3 linked regions of the Saccharomyces cerevisiae S288C genome follow. The gene in region 1 interacts genetically with each later gene. Each region holds a gene or a part of one and is shown on either strand. Other genes may lie near its edges.

Region 1 (8,011 bases):
AGATATGATTTCGCCTCCAGATGGCACTGAGTGTATGGATGAATGCAATATTGTACTCGCCACTAATTTCGAAGATAGGGCGCTCAAAATTATGGGAAGAATCCGGACCATTCTAAGTTTGCGTTCTTGGAAGTGATATTCAATATCGAGAACTTCCAGCGATGCGAAAACTAGTCTATTATAGTTGCTAATGTGTGCTCTATCATTTACGTGGCCTTTTCACATAGTCTGGTCTTTCTTAATTATCACAATTCCGTTACCCGAAATCTAATCTCGTGTTTAGCTTCGATCTGCGGACGTTACTTCTAACGTCCAGAACACTTCACCCGCTATTTACGTTTTGATCTAGTTGCGGCCTCCAAACCTGCAGATGAATCGTTCATTACATTCTTGCTGCCACTAGTTGGCCGCTGCGTATACAACAAGAAATATACTATGCATTTATGTAACGCGCTTTAGTCAGTAGCCTCAGTAATGCCTTTTCTAAGGTCAGTATGTCAATATCTCTCGGGTGAACCCCAACATTGTTGTTCTTTCTTCGTTGTTTCTCTCTCTTATCATCTTCTGTGTCTTTGCTTTCTTTTGTTCACAATTTCTCGAGAAAAAAAACTCCGCAGGAAATTTTTCACTTTTATTTTGCTTATACTATAAATAGGAAGGTCCCTGAACTGATTTGTTGACAGTGTTGCATTTCGTATATAAAAGTAAACAGTGGGCTGTAACAAACATATTATATATCACTCGCTACACACACAGCTCTAAATAGCTATGTTACTACGTTCTCTTACAAGTGCCTTCGTTTTAAGTGCTGGTTTGGCTCAGGCTGCTAGCAGCAGTAACAGTTCCACACCATCCATTGAAATTAAAGGCAATGCATTTTTTAATTCGGAATCAGGTGAAAGGTTTTATATCCGTGGTGTTGATTACCAGCCTGGTGGTTCTTCTAACTTGACTGATCCCTTAGCAGACGCATCTGTCTGTGACAGAGACGTCCCCGTTCTGAAAGATCTAGGGATAAATACTGTCAGAGTTTATACTGTGGATAACTCGCAAGATCATTCCCATTGTATGAAACTATTGCAGGAGAACGGTATATACTTGATCCTGGATGTCAATACCCCCACGAGTGCTATTTCTCGTTACGATCCAGCCTGCTCCTATAACGCTGACTACTTACAAAATGTCTTTGCCACCATTGATACCTTTGCTGATTACGACAATGTTCTAGGTTTTTTCGCTGGTAACGAGGTCATCAATAGTGTTAATACTACCAACACTGCTACTTATGTCAAGGCAGTGGTCAGGGACATGAAGAAATACATCAAGGCTAGAAAATACAGACAAATTCCGGTAGGTTACTCGGCTGCTGATATCGTCGCTAACAGACAATTGGCTGCTGAATACTTTAACTGTGGTGATGAAGCTGACGCTAGAATCGACATGTTTGGTGTTAATGACTATTCTTGGTGTGGTGAATCTTCATTTGTGGTATCGGGTTATTCCACCAAGATGAAGCTATATCAAGATTACTCCGTTCCTGTCTTCTTAAGTGAATTTGGTTGTAACCAAGTCAAGAGCTCTCGTCCATTCACAGAAATTGAAGCTATCTATTCCACTCAAATGTCTTCTGTATTCTCCGGTGGGCTAGTCTACGAATATTCCAATGAAACTAACAATTACGGGCTCGTTCAAATTGATGGTGACAAGGTCACTAAATTGACAGATTTTGAAAACTTGAAAAATGAATACAGCAAAGTATCCAACCCAGAAGGCAATGGTGGTTACAGTACTTCCAACAACTATTCTACATGTCCTGATTATGAAAAGGGTGTCTGGGAAGCTAATAACACTTTGCCTGCTATGCCAAGTGCTGCTTCTGCTTACTTCACATCTGGAGCAGGTTCTCCTATGGGAACCGGAATCGCCACCCAACAAAGTTGTGATGCTAAGGACGATGACGACGAAGAAGACGACGACACCTCCTCTTCATCCTCTTCTTCCTCTTCATCTTCATCTTCCGCTTCTTCATCTTCTGAATCATCATCCTCGACTTCAAAGGCATCTTCCTCCTCCCCTTCTGCTAGCGAAACGAGCTTGCTAAAATCTGCCGCATCTGCTACTTCGTCCAGCCAATCGTCCTCGAAATCAAAGGGTGCTGCCGGAATTATTGAGATTCCTTTGATATTCCGTGCTTTGGCAGAACTTTATAACTTGGTTTTATGAGTTTTCACCCCCGTTCTTTACCACATTGTTTCTAATTATTCCGTTAGCGCCGCTTACTTTTAATGTTCTTAAGATAAAAAAACATCATTAATATTATTATTAAAAAATTCATATATATACCTATATCTATATGCACTATTTATGCTTCCACTTTTCTTTTCTTTCTAAATACATCATTCCAAGACGTTTTTGTCCATCTTATGTAATGCATCCTTGATGCTTTGCAATTCTACTTTCTGTCCACGAACGTGCAATCCAGATGCAATGTTCTCTAACGCTGATGAGATCGAAGTTGAATCCTCAGGATTTAGTTGTTCTTGGATACTTTTATTTTTTTGCATATGTTGACGGATTTTTTGATATGTGTAACTGATCGGCAGATACCTCTTTGCATCGGAAGCCGCATTCATTTGTGCATTCTTGCAGGAACATATTTCGGGTAGCTTGATTGAATTGTAATTTACGTCAGTTTGTTGTTCATTTAGATCCGGTGACAACGCACTGTTGGAAGAGAAAGAGCTTGAACTACATTTATTCGAAAGTGATTGACAAAAATTCCTACTATGGGGGTCTGATCTACATTGCTTGCAGCTTCCAGGTATCCATGACCCATCCTCTTTAGTGATCGGTCTATTCTCGCTATCGTAGATTTCTTTGTCTCCACAGCATTTCGATATTGATTTCTTAGCATCGGATTCTATTTTCTTTTCTGAACAGCAAACGGGGACTAAGGATGGCATTATGTTATTCTTTTGGTTGCAACATGTTACTGGTTTCATGGCATCTTTATTCCTACAACATTTTATTTTTTTGTTGCCACTGCCTGCACATGCATTGATACTGCTGCTGCATGAAGACAGAGGTGAATTAATATGGCCATCAAGCGATGAATTCGTTGAACTAAACTGTCTGCCGCTCAGATATTGATAATCGTTGGCTATATCAATCTCAGACAAAGACTGGTCTGTTAATACCGCGGGCACATGAGATGTTAACAATGGGCCTTCAGCTTTCCTTTTTTTAAACTGACAGCGCCGATTGGTTTAAAGTTTTCTACCATTTCTAATATCGAAATAGGATTGTCTGGCGGGTTTTCTGGCTGCTGTTGAAATGGAGTATTAACAATCAAAGGCAAGGCTTTTTGCAATTCGTTGTTTAATGCTATTGATTTTTGCAAGTTTTCCTTTGTATCGGAAAACTCAGATTCCAGCAGTTTATATTTCCTTTGCCAATCATCGACCAAATTGTGTAGCATCTCAACCTTCTCTTCCAGAACCTGGATTCTTGTTGTTCTGCGTTCCCTATATGCTCTTTGCGCATCTCTATTTTGCCTCCTTCGCTTTTCCACGCTATCGACACCGTTTTCATCACCACTTCCGTTGCCTTCATCATCAGATTTCCCCTCATGACCTTTTGCGCCTTCGTTCTCATGATCTTTTGTGGTCATTTGGTCTTTCTGGTTGGAAGTTTGAACCTTCTTTATCTTGGACGATCCATCATTATTAGCTGATGCATCCCCGCGCTTGGATTTCGGTTTGCGGCCCGGTTTTAGGCGCTGTGGTAACTCCCAATTCTTGGATAACTTAATAGCTGACGGTCCTGATGTACTCACATTTCCATCTGGTGAGGATGGAGGTGGAGACGTCGTAGACATGGAACCCTGTTTATGCCCCAATTTGAAGCCTTTGGGCTTTACGCTAACTGCTACTACAGACCTTCGTTGTCTCATGATCCATTGAAAGTGTGCGTAAATGACAAAATTTTGTGCCTTTCTATATTCTTTAATTGATGATTTACTTCCTTGATAACGGCTCAACAAACGAAGAGCAATTTTCAAATTTCAAAAGAAAAAACCGTTGAAACTGTTCTTGAGCAACTTTCAAGCCTCTTATGATGATGTGCTACAGATTGAAGTACAGGTGAAAAGAGGAATAACCAATAGCCTTGTTTGCTTTCTACGGTGGGGCAGCGGATTTTCTCTTTTATGCTTATGCTTCTTCTTCCATATATTACTAATTTTTCTCGAGCGAGCAGCTTTACTGCGTGCATTACCGATGAAAAAAATCGCCGATATATGAAAATCCAGCTCATAAGATGCTGATTAAGGAGTCATGAGTGAAAGGACCCTCGTGGCCATCACAAAAAAGACACTTTGCTCCTGTATAAAAAAAAAAATAAGGCGGTAGTTTAGATAGGGTGTCTATTATATACATGCATAATAATTTAGTTTTGAAGGGTCGCTGGTTTTGCCGTGACGTACGCTTCTCTTTGATCTTTTGCCATTGTTGTCAGAGAAAAGAGAACCGATTGACTTTTTTTTTTTAGTTTTTTTTAGTTTTTTTCTTAGGCTTTGATCTAATATCAATCTTTCTTAATGACAAAAGTCTTCGCAGCTTGATCGGCCGGAATGGGAGGTACAGATTTTGCTTCTTCCTCTTCATCTAGGTTGATATCATCTGGCACATGCTCTCTCGAAGCTCTTTGCTTAGCTTCCTCTTCCTCCTTCTTTATTAGTTCTTCTTGCTCCTTCAAAACGTTCAATTTGAACTCGTTATCGTCGGATGTCTTCTTTTCTTCAGCTTCCGTGGCTTCCGCAGAGTCGGTAGGCTCTGCGTTCTCTTTTTCCTGAGATATTTCCTCTGTCTTCGCTGTTTCTGCCTTTTCATTAACTACGACTAGTTTAGGAGTAACCGCAGAAGCGGTGGTAGCTATAACAGACTCTTTTGCGGTGGCTTCTTCCTTCGGTATAGCAGTTTCCTCGGGTTTTTCTTCCGTCTTTATCTTCTTTTCAGCAACTTGCTTTTCAGCTTCAGTTTCAGCAGCGGATGATTTCGATTCAGATACATCTAGTTTTGCGACGTTGTAAACGGGATCTGGAATGGAACTTAGCACTTGTAATATACCGTCGTAGTACAGATCCAAAAGGTCGTCATATTTGCTTTTTGTTTCTTTTTTTTCAGCTAGTGGCGAGAATGCCTTTGAATAGTTCTCCTTTGGAAGTCCTCCAAACGTGAACGTGGAACTCAAAACCATCAAGACGGATGGGATTTTTTGTCTCAGTCTCAATTCTAGCCAAACTTTTAGATTATCGACCAAGTCCTCCTTGGATACACCGTACGCTTTCATACCACGAGACACACAAGCTTGATACAGCTCTTCTTGCGATAAACTTTCAACGCCTTCGTAGTCAATAGTTTTATCGTCGTTCATTATATCCTTTAGTTTGGAACGAATTTGGTAACGAAGCATGTTATCGTTACCAAATGGCCTTAGTGACATAAACTTCGACATTGCTGCCAATTGTGGTCTTGACAAGTTATCCAAAACGCTATCGTTTTTGAACATTTGCGCAATGGCGCTTATTTCATCGTGTTGGAAAGTCATAATCTTACCTTCCTTGGCAGAATAAAGCTTCCGGAAAAAATTCAAAAATTTTTGCTTCTTCTCTGCATTTTCAATGGTGTTGTAAGTGATCAAATTGGATTCTTCCAAAGTCTCATGCAAGAATTCGGATGTCTTTTTTCTGATCTCGATGAGCTTATTTCTCTTGGCTTGCTTATCCTTGCCGGATTCGTAAGTGGAGGGTAGTAAGTTGGGGAAGAGTTTCAAAGCGAAAGGCAAAAATAGTTCGGCGAATGGAATAATAAGGAACGCTGAAAAAGGGATCAACCTAAACACATCGCCCATTGTCCTCCTCAATTGGTTCCTCTCTCTTCTAGACAACTCGTAACCCTGAGCAAATTTAATCAAAAGCTTAGTAGAAACTTTGATTTCGTAACCCAAAAGTTTCGTCCCATTAGCATAATGTTTCAAGGCGTGCTTCACTTTGACCATAAGCGTCTCCTTGGGCTTGGCAGGAGCATCGGTGGATGTTGGAGCTACGGGCTTCGTAACACTTTTCGACTTATCAGTAGAATAAAATCTCAAAGATAAAGGATAGTTGGGCTGTACTCCTTGCGCTCTCAAAGGCCAATGACACGAGGGAATAGTGGAAGCTATTAATCTAGGGCCTTGATTTTTAACAAAATACAAGCTTGCTTGACGTCTTGTCACACATGACGCTCTTGATGCGAAATTCAACATCTTAGTATATTATCTGTAGTGATAGAGATAGCGTATATTATGCGCTGCCTGAAATGCACTGCGCTGTTCATATTCATCACCGTGGCAATGACTGATCCATTTATTTGGAGATGATTCAACGAATAATTTTTCACCGCGGGATTATCGCCCAAGACGGGGTCGTTTGAGGGTAATACCGTGGCTAGCTTTATGGCTTGTGAAACTATTGCCAGTTATGTGGTTACGTATAATCTACCGTATGTGTGTGTGTATTTATTTATGTAGGTTGCTAATGCTTTGGTGATCGTTTAAAGGAACTTGGACGCAACCCTCCCACGGGTGCCAGGGCTTGAAATCTCTTTCAATGCTGCTATTTTGCGCGACTCTGGGTACACCTTATACCCCTTGTTTCTATGGTTAAACCAATTGAATCTCCAGCAGAGCTCGTGAGCAAATAGCTCGCCGAAGCCGAGCATCATGCCGTTGAGGAAGGGCAAAAGTAGGTTGATGGAGCACGAGCCTACAAAGGATACAAGGCTCTGCACAAGTGGGCTCTCGTCGGCACTCACTGTGTTCTGCACCTCCATACAGTCTTTGTCTTCTGATTCGTCATCTGACACGCTCTCCCAGAATCCCACAACCTCTGTCATATTTCTGTCTTGTGGCAGTTTCGTAAGAAGGGGGGTGATGTTTCTAATATTACAGTGATGTTCTATTGTTCAAGTAAAGTGTATGGCTGTTTCTTATGGCGCGGAATATACCACTTCGTTATAAGTGATTACATCTCGTAACGCATTCCTCTTGTTCAGTGGTAGGGGAGGCCGATGGTAGTGGAATAATACGCTTTTATGGGCCATTGGTATTACTATTTATCTTCGTTATAATAAATAGTACACGTTGCAGACATATTTGGAGGAGAGTTTTTAAAGTACTGTTGGGGTGCTCTTGCTGTGCATTGTAAGTAATCGTGTCCCAGTGGCCGAGTGGTTAAGGCGATGCCCTGCTATTTCCTCAGAAAAGCAATTAGGCATTGGGTTTTACCTGCGCAGGTTCGAATCCTGTCTGTGACGCATTTCTTTTTTGTGAATTCTTGCTTCTTATCCTTCTACAATCCTTTCGTGACATTTATTGAATCATCTCTACAAAATTTTTACACATAGCTAAGGTTAGCTTGTTCTACATTACACAAGTGGTAGCAAAATCGTTTACATTGCACTCAGCTATATCAACATCACGTTCTACCGCAACTAGTAATGAGCTTGCACATTAGTAAACTGATTGAGCAATATCGTTCCACTAAGGACAATGACCTTAAATATATGCTTTTAAGGCAAAACTTTAAAATTAACGACATAGAGGATGAGCTGGCTCCTCTTGTTAACGAATTGCTGCTCCCGGTATTGGTCGAAGAACAAGACATGGAAATTCTCAACCTAGTATCGTTTCAAGTGCTCCCCGATTTAGTTCTTTCTATGATCAGCGACCCTGCAGCTGCTCAGTTGGGATGGGTAATAAGCTTGATATGCGACCCTTTATTAAACCAAAGCATGATACATGCAAATCGTTCTTTTGTTCTGATTGAGACACTAAGAAATGTGTTACAAAAAATTGAAAACTCCCCTCATTTAGATTACCACCAACCAGTAAACAGTTCATTAGAGTTTATCTCCAAATTTATTGTTGAAATGAAAAGGCATATGTGTGATGTGGATGCTGCGCAGCTTTC
Region 2 (5,255 bases), on another chromosome or scaffold:
TCAAAGCTTTATTCAAAAAGATTGCCAAATCGCTGCCTGAATTTCAAAACAGCGAGTCAACTCCTTTGGATAGCGAAAATGCAAATAGTGCAAACCAAAATAAACCGGGAGTCATTGATATTTCTACAGCAGAGGAGCAGGAACAAAGCGCTTGTCAGTGTTAGCACCTAATATTTCAGTTCTATAGGGCATAAGGAGAACTCTTTGTGTGCGTCATATTTTTTAGTGAACTACCAGCACATAATAATTGTACTGATAATATTAATAATAATCATAATCATAATGTACTTGACGATCTGATGTGTAGGAGCTAGTACTCACTAAACATGGTTGTATTAAAGAATGGTATTAAAACTTTTTATAAAGAAGTATGGAGTGTATAAAGTTATCAAACAACAACAAAAACAACAACAACGTAAAAAAAATATAGAAGAAATAGAAATGACATATTCTAGTTTTTGATTAATTGTTCAGTACGAAGGAAAAGATTAAGTAAAGTGTCACATAGAATCGAAATCTGTGTCCACATAACGGCCATTTCTCAGTAACGTCTTGCATAAGCGTGGCATAATTTCGACTTGAAGGGGCTCTAGAGGAAATTTCTCGCCATCGACAGAGAACAAGCCGTTCCCTAGCTTTGGTATTATCTTGTATGCCAAAATTTTAGAGTGTAAGACTTCCGGTTGTAAAACATGGGAACCCTTATCTAGTCCCAGCAGGATTGGTGCCATCCTCGTCAACGAGGTTCTTGCATCGGTGATAACCATATCCATTGTACCATCTGAAGGAAGCGCTGCCGGAAAGAATTTAGTGTCAGCAGCCACATATGGCATTTTACCCGTATAGAAGATACCTAGGTTGTTCGAAATATTAGGATCCAATCTTTCCCAGTCACTAGGGATACCTTCATCTAATGGATATTTTATTTTGAAATCTTCCTCTTTAATTTGATCAGCACTAGAATCTGCCAGATCACGAGATATCAAGTGGGAGTCTTCGTCATCCGCATCCGCATCTTCATCTTCATCTTCGTTTTCGGTTTCGTATTCATTTTCGTAATTGTAATTATCACAATCCTCGTTATCTTTGTTCATAGTAATATGCTGGAATTCTAACGACCCTTTATTTTTGTGTTCCAGGTAATGATTTTTTAACTCGTTTTTTGATTTGGCAGCATACTTTACATATATCTCACAAGGATATTTTTTTTTTTGTATGATATTGAAGGCTACACCCAATTCAAACCTTGCAGGTCCCATCCATCTAATAAATTCAGTGTTTATGTCAGTTTCTGCAATGAGACCATATGTTTGACTTAAAAATGATAACTTTGGGTGCTCTCTTGCATAAGAAGGCTGCGAACAACACATCAAATCAATTCTAGTCTCTATCGATTTAATTAAGCATAAAGTTGAGTACGAAGGATTGTTTGTCCAGTGGCAGGATACGCTCATTGCGTTACCTGATCCGCATGGAATTTCTGTAATGGCGATATTGTTGAATGCTTTGACATGATCAGGCCTTTGGTATAACCCATTGATCACCTCATGAGGAATGCCATCTCCCGAAGCGCAAGCAATAGTGTCATATTTGTCAATATCCATTTCCCGCGCGATCTCTATAGCATGACCAGGGTATTTTGTATAAACCACTTCTATGGAACACCGACTTGCTAATAGTAACGGCTTTGCCTTTGTCATAAACAGTTTTTTCGCCTTACCTTTACCACCAAACGGATTAATGATCACAAATATGGATTTGTTCCTTCTAGTGTTTTTGTAGCTTCTCTTTAAAATCTCCTCAACCAAGTCATCTTCTTCTTTTAAGTGAGAAGATGAATGGGGTTTATAGTCAATATACAATGAAACCCTTTTGGGTACAACGTCATGCCGTCTTGGCCTAGCAAATATAACCTCTACTAGTTTCGTAAAAGGAGATCTGGAAGTCAGGAGGCTACTACTACTGTTACTTCCTCGCGATAGCGAGTTGCCCTTCCTTTCTTTTTTTTGGGAAGACTCTAATTCATCAAGATCACACTTTTCACTAATGTTACTCATTGAGCTGCTTAAAGGTGAACTGGGTGATGAATTGGCATCATAATAATGCAGAGGTTCCTTTTCAATGTATCTGGCATCCAGAATTCGTCCATAGGGGATAACGGTGTTTGCTGGCAATTGACCATTCACCGAAGGATAATGAAGTTTTGGATTAGCAGAAAGATCATCTTTACTTGTATCCGTTGTCGATGTTTCCGATCTGTCTATTGTATCAGTATCGCTTAAACAGGTAACACAGCTAATTAGTGAAGCCGTTTCAAATATACTGTTGTTATCACTGTTGCTTTGAAAGCTAGTTCTACTGATGTTGCTTTGAAAGCTAGTTCTACTGATGTTGTCAATGCTGCTGCGACTTCGTTTATCTGCCATTCTATTTGCGTATGTGTAAGGACTTGATGGTTTTGCCTTGATCATTATTCCTTCCTCAGTCAGTATCGCTGACGTTATTTGCTTCTTCCTGGAATGGCGAGACCTGCCCTTACGTCTCTTTGAAGGTTTCAAAGTCATCTCTTTTGGCTTACTGTTTAAATCTTACACTATTTGTGGTTTTTTCGAGATAATATCAAGAGTCCTTTTACTCTTCTTTTCTTTCCTATTTTGCAACACGTATATACAACAGTTTATGCTGTAGTTATACTTTTTTGATTGTTTTTGTATAAATAGATTCGGCTCACGCAGCTTACGTTCCCTTTCTTCTTCGCCTGCGAAGGCTTTAACAAGGCCCGAAAACACCTTGATTTGCAAATCTAACTATGAATCTTGCAGAAAAGCGGTGGCAACTGAAAGGGAAAAAAACATAGATTAAAAGAAAGCAACATAGTAACATAAAGGAAGAGAAAATTTTGATGATAAAGAAGATGAATAATATACCTAATGCATCCAAATGTTCCTCCTGTTATACTATTGGGAATTATTGCGAGTGCATCCATTCGCGCAATGATCAAGTAGAACGCCAAGACTAGTTGTGCAAAGAAGTACAGTTGAAATTCCAGCCAGTTATGTCTCATCCCTATTCCACTGTTTTTGTAGGTATACAATGGTGTTACGAGCAATTGAAGCTGTTTATTGCCTGGTATTACCTCTGGAAACTTACTTTATAGCCGCCCATCTGTATATGTCATCATATACGGACCTCGTGGAATTTTCCAGAAAACCAAATGGGGAGGGTGACTTTAATTTTGCTTCGTTTTGCCCGGAGCAGAATCCAGACGGACATTCATGTATATATATTGAAGGAGACTAAGTTTTACATTCATTATGTAAGGTCGTGGTTGCGTCTTCATGCACTTCCTTGAATAATATAAGAAAATTCCCACGAGAAAACATCATAAGCAAAAAAGTTTTCAAAATGTTGAGATCATCCGTTGTTCGTAGTCGCGCTACTTTAAGGCCTTTATTGCGTCGTGCTTACTCCTCTCATAAAGAATTGAAATTCGGTGTAGAAGGAAGAGCCTCCCTTCTTAAGGGTGTCGAAACTTTAGCTGAAGCGGTTGCTGCTACTTTGGGTCCAAAGGGTAGAAACGTTTTAATCGAACAGCCTTTCGGTCCTCCAAAGATTACTAAGGATGGTGTTACAGTTGCCAAATCTATTGTGTTGAAGGACAAGTTTGAAAATATGGGTGCCAAGTTACTACAAGAAGTTGCCTCCAAAACCAATGAGGCTGCTGGTGACGGTACTACTTCTGCTACTGTCTTAGGTAGAGCCATCTTCACAGAATCCGTCAAAAATGTCGCCGCTGGTTGTAACCCTATGGATTTGAGAAGGGGTTCTCAAGTTGCAGTTGAAAAAGTGATTGAATTTTTGAGCGCCAACAAGAAAGAAATTACCACATCTGAGGAAATTGCTCAAGTAGCAACCATTTCTGCCAATGGGGACTCTCATGTTGGTAAGTTACTAGCTTCAGCTATGGAAAAGGTTGGAAAAGAAGGTGTCATCACTATCAGAGAAGGTAGAACATTGGAAGATGAACTTGAGGTTACTGAAGGTATGAGGTTTGATCGTGGTTTTATTTCTCCATACTTCATCACTGATCCAAAGTCGAGCAAGGTGGAATTTGAAAAGCCATTGCTATTGTTGAGTGAAAAGAAAATTTCTTCCATTCAAGATATCTTGCCAGCTTTGGAAATTTCCAATCAAAGCAGAAGACCTTTGTTGATCATTGCTGAAGATGTTGACGGTGAAGCTCTTGCGGCTTGTATTTTGAACAAGTTGAGGGGTCAAGTTAAGGTTTGTGCTGTGAAGGCGCCTGGTTTCGGTGATAATAGAAAGAATACAATTGGTGATATTGCAGTCTTGACGGGCGGTACTGTTTTTACTGAGGAGTTGGATTTGAAACCAGAACAATGTACCATAGAAAACTTGGGTTCTTGTGACTCTATTACCGTTACTAAGGAAGACACCGTTATCCTGAACGGTAGTGGTCCAAAGGAAGCTATTCAAGAGAGAATTGAACAAATCAAAGGCTCCATCGACATTACCACCACAAATTCATATGAGAAGGAGAAACTGCAAGAGCGTTTGGCCAAATTGTCCGGGGGTGTTGCTGTCATCAGGGTCGGTGGTGCATCTGAAGTTGAAGTTGGTGAAAAGAAGGACCGTTACGATGATGCTTTGAACGCTACCAGAGCTGCAGTTGAGGAAGGTATCTTGCCAGGTGGTGGTACTGCCTTAGTGAAGGCATCTAGAGTTTTGGATGAAGTTGTTGTCGACAATTTCGATCAAAAATTGGGTGTCGATATCATAAGAAAGGCCATTACAAGACCAGCCAAGCAGATCATTGAAAACGCTGGTGAAGAAGGTTCAGTTATCATCGGCAAATTGATTGATGAATATGGTGATGATTTTGCCAAGGGTTACGATGCCTCTAAGTCAGAATACACCGACATGTTAGCCACTGGTATCATCGATCCATTTAAAGTGGTTAGATCCGGTTTAGTTGATGCTTCTGGTGTTGCCTCACTATTAGCTACTACCGAAGTTGCTATTGTTGATGCCCCAGAACCACCAGCAGCTGCTGGCGCTGGTGGTATGCCAGGTGGTATGCCAGGAATGCCAGGTATGATGTAACGACCGCCTTAATTCAAAATTTATCTTTCGTTTAAATATGGTAATAATTTTATTATCTTGTAAATACAATGTGAAAAAAGTTGAGATTTTTAGGAATCACTTTTTCAAGTATAAAGAACTATATATGACTA
Region 3 (4,071 bases), on another chromosome or scaffold:
GCAGGAGGTAATTTCGTGGATCTCGCAATCAAAGGTGTTTCGTGGTCGTCGTCGTCGTCGTGGAAAATTTTTCAGAAAGAAAAGAACGATTACCTAAACTGTCTTTTTCTTTTACAACATGATGTCCCTGAAACAGAGAAAGTACCGTACGAATGTCGATCGACCGGAAAAACTGCCCGCGAGAAAAAGAAATCTCTTTTCTTCGATTTTTTTGTGCCGTCCGGTTTATTGCCCGGTGCCGTCCGGCATGATAGCCATTTCTAGGTACCAATGTGCGAGGAGGTTCAGAAAACTCGTAGTAACATGATGGAAAAGGCATTAGAAAGAGCAGTATACTCTGGGGTCACCAATGTGGAGCTCTGGAGCCCCGCACTTTTTTTCAAGAATAATAGGATGTATACGTAATACGTAATAGGTATCACGCTATTTACTCTTGCCTTTTCTTTGTTTCATAGTTCGAATCACATGAGTAGAGGACGGAAATTGCTCTTCTATGGCGTTCAGTATTCGAATAAATCCCAGACGCTAGGCTTATATAAATGAATGTAGCTGTACTTTACCAGCGTCTCAGGAATGAAGGCGTGCGTGTGGTCATAGTGGTCAATGAGATCAAATACAGATGCGAATGGACTAAGCTCTTGACAATCACTATGTTTGCACCGGTTATCCGACCAGTAACTCTCTGGATCAGTTGGGGTTTGTGCCGTAGTGCTATCAACGCTTTCACTACTGCTTGTCCCAGTAGTGCTAAATGAAAGTTGTGGAATGGATGTAGTGTCGGTGCTGCTGGATTTCTCAGAGGTTGGAAGCGATTCCTTCAGAGATGGATCTCCAGATGGTACAACAAGCTTACTTGCTATATGATGTTGCAACATATGATTTATTAGATCGTCATTGAAGCTGGTAACTTTTTGACATGATTTGTATGGGCATTGTAGCACTTGCATGTCATCATATCCAGGCAAATGACCTTGCGAGAATTCTTCACCACACATTGGAGAGCCGGAAGGTAATTTTGGGTCAAAACCTCCCTCCTTGCCATTGAGTTCTGCTTTCACATTCGCATTCACTCCTTCGTGTTTACGGTCAATTCTTGATGCAAGCTTGCTTTTTCTTTCATGACTATTTAAATGCCTTCTTAATTGCTGATTTGTGACAAATCTTTTTTGACATAATGTGCACGCTTTGGGCTTGATTTGTGAATGAGTCCATTTGTGAACTCGTAGATGGCACGGTCTTATAAATTTTTTGCCACATCCCGGCTCATCACAATGATACGGCTTTTGATTGGTATGCGAATTTTGGTGTTGCTGAAGCAAACTAGGTCTGTTGTAGACTTTCTCACAACCGTCAAAAGAACATTTGTAATTTCTAGACTTGGTTCTCCCTATATCCGTCATTGTTTTGGTGGCCACGTATTCTGGTACCACTTGTGCACACCAGCGTAAAAGTTGTCATTTTCATCTTCTTTAGCGTATTTATTGTCCGAGACTGTTAAAGAAAAATTATTACTGTTTTTTTGCTATTACTAAAGAATAAATAACTATAAAATATGAAATAGAATCTATATGGAACATGCAGAATTTCGCTTTGGTTTAAGCCCACTTACCGATCAAAGCCATGATACCAGCACCGAAAAGAGTGCATATAACGTTGAAGGACAATTCTCTTAGATCCTTTGTTCTTTGAGGATTGAATATAAAGTCTCTTGCTAGTAGTTCAACCAAACCAGTGTACAATAAGATACCAGCAGAAATGGCATCCAAAACACCAGAGATAACAAGCGCAGTGTAAGAACCGCTGACGTATCTGGTACGAACACCCAAACCGATGGCCACACAGATTGGTGTGGTTAACCCATACGCAACACATAGGGCCCATGGCCACCATCTCTTTGATCTAGGGAATTCAATGGCTGACAATCTTGCACCAATACCTAAACCTTCAAATGATTGATGGAACACTAAGACAGGGTATAGGGAGGAGAACTCATCACCAACACTTCCCAGGTTTAGACCGATCATAACGGAGTGGAAAATCACACCGAATTCTAAAATTAAAAAGGCATAAAATTGTGCTTGAAATGATTGAACAACATCCATGGATGTAGCGTCTGAATCTTCATAATACTCTACTCCGTTCTTGGTGTCATGAGATCCATTTGCAGTACCATTCTCATTGTCATTCTCACTTGAAACAGCTGCAGTGTTTCTCACAACAGTGTCTTTAATTTCATCGTGGGTATGGTCATGGGAAAGACCATACTTTCTTTCAACCCAGACGCTACTGAATAGATCAGTAAGGAAAGTGAAGGTCAAACTCGTTAGCATAATGGCAGGACACCATGAATAAAGACCCCAGTTACCGGTTTGTCCTACACAAGTGGTACCACCAATCGCACCATAAGCAGGGTCCATTAAGTGGATAAATGCGGTTGCAACAATAACACCGGAACCAAAATACTTTGCGAAAAGGTAAACATATAGAGGAATTCTCAATCTTTTCACTTTTGTTGAGATTAATGGGAACATGGTGAAAAAAGTACTCACGAAAAGAATAACAAAGACGGAAGATATTCTGGCACCTAAGTTACCATTGTACTCGTTTCCACCAAAGTAAACACCTTGCAAAACACAGGTCTTCCACACATCATCAGGGGTTTTATCGGCAAGTGTAACTTCAGAAGGGTCCCATTGTTTCCACCACGGCGTAGTAACGTTGCTCATAATTCCTTTTTTGATATTTGTGCTGTTGTTTTATTGTCTATACTTGCAGTTTTTTTGTAAATAGGGAAGAGATGAGATCATGACAGCCGATACCAGGCCTCTATTTATAACTAAGTCATCGAGCTAATGCCGTGCGTAATTTCTTTTTTTCTTAATTTCGTTCTACACATTTGCTCTCAACCTACTTTCCATGACCTTCAAGGTCAAATATGTTCATCTGTCTCATCTCATTGGAGAGAAGATACCTGAGCACATCTGATAATTTTGGGAAATGTCATTGTAATTTGAAGAATACCGCACAGATGAGAACCTTGAGGGTATCTTTGGTCCTTCGAGGTTTTTACAGGCAAGAGAGTACGGGTGTATTGTTTTTTAAGCAGCAACTATATTTTTTTTTAGTTATCTGGCGCGCGCGCCTTAGCTGAAGAAAACTGACGGTAACGGTACCCCAAAGGTCACAATAAGTACTTGCGCCATGTTCTAGTGCATTTGACTAATTTGCCGTAGCGTGGATCTGCATTGTCCAAAGGGTAGGAGTCACATCAGGTGTTTGTTGCGCCCAGTTTGGAAACATTTGTCCCATAGAGTGATGAATGTGAGCTCATGTCGCCGTAATCGCCGTGTAATTTACCGCAGGAATTGGCCATAATCAGACATTAGTGTCAATTTGTCCTTTCATATTAGGAAAGTCTGAAATACTCTTGCCTTCTAGAAAATTTTCATAGAAGCTTGGCAATTGCTTCTCTCAAATGCTGTTATTTCCACCCTAATGAAAGAAGCATATCAGATTCAGAGATCTTGTTAAATCCAATTTTATGTCATAATGTCGATAATTGACGTAATTTCCATTTCGTACTATGTAAAATAATGCTTATTTGGCACTTTGGTGTTTGGCAGAATACCATTTCTTTTTATTAGGGACAAAAAAAGAAATATCTGACCTGAAAGTATTTTTTTTTTTATTATAGATTTTCTCTCCAGGTACATCTATCTCAAGTCTAACCGGGATTTGACGTCTAATAGATTTTAAAATACCAATTGAAGATTGGTGCCGCTTGTTTTCCTTCTTAAAACAAGCGTATTCTTTCTAAGGCTCTCCTCCCACAAAATAATCTTTAAAGTATCGATTATCAAGGTGGACACAAAGGATATAATGTGGAGCAGTGAAACATCTGCAATCCGGGAATCGGAGAGCATTTAGAAAAATTGTGAAGAAACAGCAAGTTTTAGGCCAAATAATTTTTCTTCTTGAAGCATCAAGTTATCCGTGGCATACTTTGAATGGAAACTGAATTAACTGCTGTGATACAGAACAAAAATAAAGAGGATGGCAGGGAGAGGAAAT

Evidence for each region. Genes that interact genetically often act in the same process or in processes that back each other up.
Region 2: mutations in YAP7 (region 1) and LCB5 together harm fitness more than expected from each alone (negative genetic interaction), as found in Saccharomyces cerevisiae (2 studies listed by BioGRID).
Region 3: of YAP7 (region 1) and FZF1, changing one suppresses a phenotype caused by changing the other (phenotypic suppression), as found in Saccharomyces cerevisiae (one study listed by BioGRID).

Annotation. Positions count from the first base shown.
Region 1 is NC_001147.6:267,419-275,429, forward strand, and holds YAP7 (Yap7p), read right to left. Parts: upstream 3,953-8,011; coding exon 3,215-3,952; downstream 1-3,214. Other genes in the region: SIL1 (Sil1p), read right to left, coding at 1-111; GAS5 (1,3-beta-glucanosyltransferase), read left to right, coding at 769-2,223; YOL029C (uncharacterized protein), read right to left, coding at 2,397-3,002; ribosome-binding protein MDM38, read right to left, coding at 4,585-6,306; MIM1 (Mim1p), read right to left, coding at 6,594-6,935; LAG2 (Lag2p), read left to right, coding at 7,539-8,011. UniProt on the Saccharomyces cerevisiae protein: Probable transcription activator linked to cell cycle that induces transcription activation of genes in the environmental stress response and metabolism control pathways, like the closely related YAP5.
Region 2 is NC_001144.5:663,153-668,407, reverse strand, and holds LCB5 (sphinganine kinase LCB5), read right to left. Parts: upstream 2,565-5,255; coding exon 501-2,564; downstream 1-500. Other genes in the region: Rab family GTPase YPT6, read left to right, coding at 1-164; VPS63 (Vps63p), read left to right, coding at 1-171; chaperone ATPase HSP60, read left to right, coding at 3,406-5,124. UniProt on the Saccharomyces cerevisiae protein: Catalyzes the phosphorylation of the sphingoid long chain bases dihydrosphingosine (DHS or sphinganine) and phytosphingosine (PHS) to form dihydrosphingosine 1-phosphate (DHS-1P) and phytosphingosine 1-phosphate (PHS-1P) respectively.
Region 3 is NC_001139.9:19,633-23,703, reverse strand, and holds FZF1 (Fzf1p), read right to left. Parts: upstream 1,401-4,071; coding exon 501-1,400; downstream 1-500. Other genes in the region: high-affinity Zn(2+) transporter ZRT1, read right to left, coding at 1,596-2,726. UniProt on the Saccharomyces cerevisiae protein: May function as a transcription factor.